2 linked regions of the Danio rerio genome follow. The main gene of each other region encodes a partner of the protein of the gene in region 2 in a complex. Links are inferred from orthologs where the notes say so. Each region holds a gene or a part of one and is shown on either strand. Other genes may lie near its edges.

Region 1 (4,751 bases), on a different chromosome or scaffold from region 2:
TTATATCACTGTGTTTTATGGATATGTAATAGGCAAACGGCTATATGAACAGAAAATTATGAGTAGGGCGGGAAGTTTTGCAAGTCTCCAGATGCCCGCAAATGAATGATAATCTCCCGGTAATCTCGTGTCTCCCTCTCGGTCCTCAAAAAGGCTACGTCGTGCACCCTTCTCACCCTCTCCTCACTCTTTACACACGTCGCGCGCACCTTGTCAAACACCACCAAACCACCACCTCTCCTGACAGCTGAGCGGGACTGCAAAATAAACCCTGACACTCTGACCAATGTGAGGAGAGTTTACTCTCACATGACTTGTTTTAGCTCTTTTGGTCCGATTAGAAACTTTGCAGTGTGAAAGCGAACCGCACCAAGAGCAAAGAGCAACAATGTAACATTTGTAATCTCTATTTCGGAACAACTGAATCGATTCACAGGTGTGAAAGCACCCTCAGACACTTTTAAAAGCTGTCATTCATTCATTTCTTCTCACAATACTCAAGGTCTTGGTCTCTTTTTTGTCTCTTGTTTATCCTCATAGCATCCATGTGGGATAAAAGAACAGCATCTTAACTTTGTCTTTCGTGAAATGGAGTTGCCGTTTTAAGTAATGAATAGTAAATCGGACTCATTTAAAGTAGCTTGACTGTGCAAAAAAAAAAAAACATGCATGTTACATAAGGGTGTCACGATCCTCCAAATCCTCGATTCGATTACATTTTCGATTCTAAAGGCACGATTCGATTCGATTTTCGATTATGAATAATTAATTAATTAATGACCAATCATCATTTAATCATTTGTAGCCTACCGTTTAAACTACCTGACCTGCATGGTCTTTGTTTTACCCATAAACAAATCATACAGTAAATGAATAAAGGCAAGATACACACATAATTACCACTCGTCAATCACTTTTTCTGCGGGACTCGTGAATAGGCAGTGATCTGTGTCGTTATAATGGCGTCGGTAAAAAAGACGCACAACCAACAGGAACCAGCCAACAGTATCTGAGGTGTTCGCTAAAATGACTAAGTACAAGTGAGTGAAAGATTGAAGCAGTCCTCTGACTGCCTGGACCTGCTGTCTCGAGCGCATGGCTGTGTGTGCGTCTGTGTCTGTGTGGTCACGTGATGTGCATTTTCAGAGGTAGAGAGAAAGGAGGGCTGCTCAGAAATGCTACACGCCACTGTGGATGTCAAATCGTTGTCGTTCTAAAATGCCATTTAAAACCAAAGACAGTGTAAACAGGGCCTGAGTGTGTACTTTTCGCGAGCGGATTTGCAATGGGGGCGGGCGGAGGATCGCGATGCCGGTGTTGTCTATCGGACGAACCGTACGTAATACGTACACAGCAGAGCTTGCAAAACTGTGGGTTTTTTTGTCGACAACACGAACGTTGTCAACATAACTCCCTGGAAATCCAAAATGCTTAAACACCGGCGATTTCATTGAAAGAGGAGAGGGTTTAAGTTTTCTCGACGGGTCTCCTGCTTCTGCAGTTTAACAAGCACTTCAACAAGCCTGTTTTTTTTCCCGCTTGGCAAGCCAAGCTGACATGGGGGGGTGTGGGAGCATCGACGATTCTATTTTTTGATTCGATAATCGAATTTGAGCATAAATTTTGATCGATTTCGATTAAAAATCGAAATCGTGACACCCCTAATGTTACAGTTTTAAGGTAAAGGAAGTTTTCATTTGCCATTCACTGACAATCAGAGAGGCTCATGTTGTTCATCAAACTCCATCTTTTAATATTTAAAGCGGAAGCCGGCGTATCAGCAAACCATAACACTGAAAACATACGACTCGATTAGCACCTTCTGATTCTTGGGATTTTGGGACAAAAAAATCTGCTTTTGCTGTCAAAGTCAAGTGCTGTTTAGAAGCTTTTGCCAACAAACTGTTATTTCTGAATGGGTAGATGTTGGGATTTAGATGAATTGAAGCAAACATATTTGTTGCATATGTCATCAGCTCATTTTTGGCAGAAGTGGCGTTCAGCAGCTTTTACATCTGAACTCTTCATTATATTTATATAATTATAACAATAATAATTTATTTTCTGAAAATAAATGTTTCACACTTGGCACAACAATGCAAAGCATTATGGCTACTCAATTCATACAAGCAAATTTAATTAATTAAATAACTGAATTTCCGTTGAATGCAAACATTAACTATTGTTTTCAAAATTTAACCAATATAATCAATTGAAATATAATCAAGCATACAGATATCTTTAACAAATATCCATGAGTCCTATATGAGTTTCTTTCTAATGTTAAACACAAGAGACGGTATATTTATAGCATTGAAAACCAAAAGCCACTGACATCCATAATAGGGAAAAAAAGTGGCAGTTTAGAACAAAAACTTCTACTTTTGTGTTCAACAGAAAGAAAGAACCTCAAACCAGTTTGGAACAAGTGGAGAGTGAGCAAATGATGACAGAATGGTCATTTTTTAAATATCAGGTCATTCCACACAATATAATTCATGTAGAAGAGATTGTTTACCTGTTCGGCGAAGGTGGTGTTGTGTGGAGGGACATTGTTGGGACGCCTGTCGTTGGGGTGCTATGGCTCGGTAACTGAGTGCCTTGTGTTAAACTCCGGTTCAATTGAGGGTTGTTGTTGCTCATGCCCCTTATTGAGAATCCTAGTGCACCTACAAATTGAAATAAACGCTGATTACATGCCAATTACAAACAGAGTGATTTACATTTTTATGAACTGAATAATAGCTCAGGCGTGATGTCATTTGGATCACAGACAAGTACTCACTTTGAGGACCGTACAAACTTGCACCAAGCTGTGACAATTGACCTGACGATGACGGCGAGGGAGACGGCAGCATCTGAAAACGAGATAAGTCAAATTAAAGAGTTAAAATTAAAATAAATGTATTGTAAAGCTTTATATATTCTATATATTTGTATATTCTAATGTTTACATGCTGCTAAAAAAATTAAAAACTGATGCATTTTTTTACAGAACTCTTTTAAGATTCAGATAAAAAACAAACCAGTATTTACTTTAAATAACTTTTGTAACAATCTAAATACTTTAACTGTCACTTGTGATAAATATAAAGCAACTTTGCTGAATAAAATAATTAACTGGGTCAGTTAAAATTAAATCATTTACTCTTAATTATTTGAGAGCAAAACAAGATATGATTGTGACCAGCTTAGTGTTCATTTAATTTTTAAATGCATTTCTCTCTATTTAACTTGCTGACAAACAAAATAAGATTTTTAGTGCTAATACAAGATTAAAAACTAATAATTATATGGACAATTAGATGTTTATTTGATGCTTTTACTGTGTATTTTATCACTGTATGCTGCATTTAGAAAAATCTGAAATAAAATGTCACAATTTGCCATTTGGTTCTCATAAAACAGCTAAAGTTCAGTGTTTTCAGAAAACAAAATGCCATTTGTACCATCAACATGCATAATTATGCCATCATTTGTCTCTACCGCCATTCATTATTGACATGCTCCAACAGCAATGACAAGTCATCTTTATGTAAAAGTCCAACTTCAAAAATGTGGAAAGATTACTTTAAGCTAGTTTTCATGAGTGTTCAAACACAATCATTGTGACATTCAGTATAGTCTCGTTTCAGTATGCATTAGCAGTTCTGAGTGATTTCTGTTTATGATCATAGTGAGTGACAAAATAAGTACACATTAGGTCAAAAATGACTAATAAGATTTTGTTTGTGCTAAAAATAAAAACAATAATTGTAAATATATTTTCGGTAGTAGGTTTAAAGAAGATGTTGGCATGCAAATGCAATTCTAACAATGTAACATTTTTCATATTATCAGATCTGGAAAAAAAATGCATTTTGGATTGAACTGCACAATATATCATGTCAGCATCGATATCGCAATGTGATCATTCCCAATGTTAAGTCTGGATTATAATTTACCATTTCGCAAGTATTTTTTTGAGGCCTGTGATTGTGTAAGGGTTTTAAAAGCATTCAGGCCCAAGAAATTGTAACAAATTAGTAACTATTTAATTGTTTAAAAACAAAGACTGTGCAGTACTATTTTACATTTGATTAATCAATTACTGTATACCAGAATTGAGTTTGACTTGTCAGAAAACAATCAAATGCTGTTTATTTAATTGGTATCTTTTTCTTAATTGAATTCATCTAGGCTTGTAGATATTTTATACATATACACTTCCTTTTTTTCTGCTACATTCATTCTTCCATGGGGGGAGCCACAGCAAAATGCATCCTGCCACAGCTACATTACAGCTTATCATTCAAAACATTCATTCATTGTTGTTGTTGTTGTTGTTTTTAATAGCGTGTTATTATTGCACCAAAATGTATTAAAAAGTAAGTGAATTATAACAGCGCAAACTTTTCTGTAACCATAGCAGTGCGGTGCGTTATTTGTTAAACCCTTTGCTGACTGACTGACCAGTGCGGGATGCGTAAAGCCAGCAAACACTGCGTAGCTTTTAGTTAAGATGAACACAGTTTTCATAATTAAACTTTATTTATAGATAAAGGTCTGTGGTTCTGCATGCAATGACTTTATCTTGCTGGAGTTTATAGCCGATTTACTTTACTTCAGGACACATTAATGCTGCTCTGTTAGAAATTAGATTAATAAATTAATGATTAAATTAATTAATAAGAAATTAATAAATATTCCTAGCAAATCTAATAAATGTTGGGAGACATACTAAATGGGAGCACTAAATTGCATTTCAGCAG
Region 2 (4,751 bases):
TTAGAGAACAAAGATATAACATCTCATTTACATATTGACAGTGCAAATTAGAATAGTGGCAAATTTCCTTGTGCCAAATATTTACTAAAAAAATTTACTGGTCAAAGAATGGACATGCTCACAAAATAGACAGGAATGTGAGTGACCACAAGGCACTTTTTATTTTTACTTACAACTAGCTACAGTATATCTGATGCATGCTTTTCAGGCACAAAGAGAACACATTGCACATTGTCTTAGGGAACCATGATCATGCTGGTATTGTGTGACTCAGATGTTACTTCCCAGTAGTCTCTTATTTCTTAAAACAAATTCAAAATAGCATATTTGGCAAACAGTATATTTGAGCGATTGTATTCCTTTGGCATTCCAAAATAAATATGTGTGGGGTAAAAAAAGTCTTATACCATGCGCTCTGTGTTCCCTGTATTGTCTTCTCCTGGTAACAACAACTGTAGCCATTTCAAGTGTGATATTTATATTTTTAGTCATTAAATAATGACGCAAATATCTAATGTGAGAAGCACAAATGTTGTTAAATTGCAATGCGCTATACATTTAAACACTTTCATCCTATAAATTTTGTGTCTAATTGGGAAACTCTTACAAATGTATATTTTAAAAAAAAGTAACTGTGTCAGTGCCTTTTCAGAGATATTTCTCTCTGCTGTGTGTGTTTGGTAAAACTAAAAAGACAGTTAGCATTGAAGCAAGCTGTTAGTAAATTTGTCTCTTTACTGTTTACAGTTTTTGTTAAGACTAATCTAAGACATTAATATATTTCAGCAAGCCATAAAATTGCACTTACAGAGTGGGTGGCTGTTGATTAGCCTTTTTGTTCCTTACAATTGGATCAAATAAACAAAGCTTACTGAATTCGCCTGCTACCAAATTAAAGTAATAATTCACCCAAAAATCTTACTGACATGTTTAAATTTTTGAAGTTTCCTTCTTCTGCAAGAATATAAAAGAAGATTTTTTAAAGAATGTTGATAACCAAATTTTTGACTTCCATTAAATTAAAAAAATAGAAAATAACATGTCATACATGTTATAAATATGTTGCAGAAAACTACCTATAGCTTTGTAATGTTAATTTGGGGGTGAACTATCTTTTGAATGTCAAAAAACAGCCAATTTTATTTTTTGCTTCAGATTAGAAGCTCTTGTCTCAGAATCACTCGTTTTCCTGACCTCTTTCTTGCAGGTGTGGTGGAGTATCTGAGCAATGGCGGAGTTGCAGAAAATCACAAAGACTTTAAAGAACTGCGCTACAGCGACTGTTTAACTAACTTCAGCTGCAATGGCAAAAACGGCAAGCCTGATGGCAGTATCACACACAGTTTCCAGCTGAAGAGTGCCTATGAGGGGAATCTCATGCCCTACACCAACTACACTTATGACTTCAAGGTGAGGAGATTTTTTTTTCAGAATCAAAATGAATCTCAATCAAAATATTATGGGAGCCATCTGTTTCAACATGAGATTTAGGATTTTCATGCTTGCTTTCTTTACATCGCCATTTTTGTTCTTTTATTTGTTTCAACAAAGCTTTGCTGCGAAGATGAATCATTTATGATCATATGATTATCTTGTTGGTAAATATGATGATGTAGGTCTCACATGATGCACTGTATATACATGATAATAAATTTACATTTGTTAATATTGAAATGACATAATCAAAAAATGACTGTCGGTTCATGACCAGGAGAATAAGTAATGATTCAGTGATGGTGTCTGATTCAAAAGCCAACTCATTTAGCTAATTATTTTGAGATGTGTTGATTGGTGGATTGTCTTGTGGGTGTCATTTGTTATTAAAGTGTGACTGCCTTTGTTATAATAATGAATTAAAATAGGGTGTTGGCATGTTACATGCTTGCATGAGGAAACCCGTGCACATTAGAAAGATTAATCCTTGTCCAGTATCTGCTTTTTAAAAGTTTTAAGTCAGAGTGAACCAGAAGTTGCTAAGACTTCTATTTCAGGAAGTCACTGTACTTCCGACTAAGATGGATTGTTGAGTAGGGGTCAGGGTTTTCTTTTTACTCATTATTCTCTCTTCGTAAACTAACGGTAATAGGGGTTTGGTTATCAATAGCTACAATCAACAAAAAATGAATGCCACTTTAAATGTGGAAGCAAATGTTTAGACTTTGAAGATTACCAAAACAAAATTGTTTTAGTCGATTATCTTGCACAGATTTATTGTTCACCTAAAGAATAAGAATGTGTGCTAACAAAATATACATTGTAAATTTCGATTTCACGTGGACTTCAAGGGATAAAACTAGAGTTGTGCTAATTTAAAATAGAGTTATATATTTTAATCTTATAGTTATATGTGTTTCTAGTCTAGTTTAGTCATCTCTGTTTCTTTTCCGGCTGTAAATCAATGTTCTGGTTCAGTTTAACACCTCATTGACAATCTAAGTGGCTCAAAACAGTCAAGTGCATATGCAGATTGTGCATACATTATATGCAAAGTTAAAAAAAATCTTCTGATTTAAAAATTCAACTTACTTCACCCTGTGAATTACACTAGCATGTGTCTAAGGAATATTGATTTCAGAAACCCTTATTACTTCACTTTCCACTCATTCAGACTTAAAGGGTTAGATTTTTAATTCATTCATTTTCTTTTTGGCTTAGTCCCTTTCATAATCAGGGGTCGCCACAGCCGAATGAACCGCCAACTTATCTAGCATATGTTTTACACAGTGGATGACCTTCTAGCTGCAACCTAACACAGGGAAACACCCATACACACTGTTTCACACTCACACACACTACAGCCGATTTAGCTTGTTCAGTTGACCTAATGCGCATGTCTATGGACTGTGGGGGAAACTGGAGCACCCGGAGGAAACTCACGCGAACACTGGGCGAACATGCAAGCTTCACACAGAGTTGCAAAGTGACCCAGCTGGTGCTCAAACCAACAACCTTCTTGCTGTGAGGCGATCGTGCTACCCACTGCGCCACCGTGACACCCAAAATTTAATTTCTAATATTAATAAGTGTCAATAGCCTGAGACCTTCACTCATCTTCTGAACACAAATGAGCTTCCTTCATCCTCCACAGACAGCCGTAGTCAGGCATTCAAAGTCCAGAAAAAGACCCCAAAATGCTGTCAAAATATTCCATGTGACTTCAGTGGTTAAACTAAAATCATGCACAGTTCCAATAACACCTTTATTCGCACAAAAAAAAAAAAGAGTAAAAACAACTTGCTTTTTATCAGTGTTTTCCATTTTAGATTAGTGTTTGCATTTAATATGACCAATAAAATGTTATTGTGTTGCTCTGCTGACTAAAATGACAATATATCAGACTGCCTGTAGCAAGTGCACACCCTGAACTGATGTGAAACAGAACAAAGAACGAATGAGCAAAGGCAAACAAAAGTATTTTTTACAGTTTTATGGCACACAATAATGTTCTTGGAGCTTCTAAAATGTTTTTTGTAAAGAAAAGTGTGTGCATTTGTACAGTATGTGGCCCATTTATCGTTGCAAAAAAGGCCACATCAAATAATTATAAAGTACATCAAAAAACTTCTGAAAACATTCAAAAACTTTCTGATTCAGTTCTAGTTTTGGTATTTGTGACTAGGTCTCTGCTTCATCAGAATCAGTATCAGTTTCGTGTCGCTAGGCAGACATGCCCAAACCCTGCATTCTACTTTCATTACAGGAGAAACTGCTTATTTGCAGTTAAAGCCAAAGACACCAAACAGCTCTGACCCAAAAACTGACATTTTCAAATGGTCTGACAGGTATTTTAAGCTGAAACTTCACAGACACATTTTAGGAACACCAAAAATTGTAAAAAGAGGCATAATATAAGAGGCCTAAAAAGACTTTTAAATAGATTTTAAAGTGACCTATATTTGAGACTATTTACAATTTATAATTTATTCAATAATTAATTCAAAATTAAAGTTTGAAGAAATATCTTTTTTTGCATGACACAGTGACATTTAAGTACAAATAATAGCTCTGACGGAATTCTCTTGAACAAATAAGCATTCGTTTAATGTGTCAGAATGGAAAAGAGTGAGCGTGTGTAAATGTCACGTCCTTTTGGTTTTCTTGGCAACATCCTGAATCATTCACATAAAAATCAGAATGTGCTTTCTTTGACAATCTAGAAAATCAGGGAAAGTTTGTTTTTTCTTTTGTTACACTTTGTTGACACATGGCAAAAAAACGGTCATTAGTACATACCTTAAAAGTGACAACTGTTGTTGAGTTTTAAAAATTGCATTTGTTACACATTTAAATGAATTAATCCTTTACTGCACAACATTTCACTTGGCAACAGAAATGTCAATTTTCAGTGCATGTTTTCATAAATCATTGCAACCAATTGGAATGGTTAATAGCAATAAAGAAAAAGTCAAATAGGATTTGAGGGTCACTATCATGCACCATTTGAAGGTGGAATATTCTTTGCACCCGTGGCCCAAGGAGTGCTTGATGTGATTAAAAGGCAAGATATCTGCTGTAGTAATCCTGTTTAAAAAGACATGGTCAATGCATAAATATATGCATGCCGGTGTAAAAATACATTTTATTAGGTTTTATTATGATTTTATTTTATTTTGAATGTTTAGAAATTCTAATTTTCTTATAATTTTCATCAACTTAAGTTTTATTTTTACAAGTTTTTTTTATTCTAACGATATTTTTGCTAATATTGTGCTTAGAGATTATCACATATTGTTATACATGTTAGTGCACAA

What was found. Proteins that work in one complex are often made in the same cells at the same time.
Region 1: cnot6l (region 2) and cnot2 share a complex: the UniProt entries of both Homo sapiens proteins name them as parts of the CCR4-NOT complex. The link is inferred for Danio rerio from reciprocal best matches to the Homo sapiens genes CNOT6L and CNOT2.

What each region holds. Positions count from the first base shown.
Region 1 is NC_133200.1:31,061,267-31,066,017, reverse strand, and holds part of cnot2 (CCR4-NOT transcription complex subunit 2), read right to left. Parts: intron 2,859-4,751; coding exon 2,786-2,858; intron 2,670-2,785; coding exon 2,519-2,669; intron 1-2,518. UniProt on the Homo sapiens protein: Component of the CCR4-NOT complex which is one of the major cellular mRNA deadenylases and is linked to various cellular processes including bulk mRNA degradation, miRNA-mediated repression, translational repression during translational initiation and general transcription regulation.
Region 2 is NC_133180.1:39,704,482-39,709,232, reverse strand, and holds part of cnot6l (CCR4-NOT transcription complex subunit 6-like), read left to right. Parts: intron 1-1,207; coding exon 1,208-1,410; intron 1,411-4,751. UniProt on the Homo sapiens protein: Has 3'-5' poly(A) exoribonuclease activity for synthetic poly(A) RNA substrate.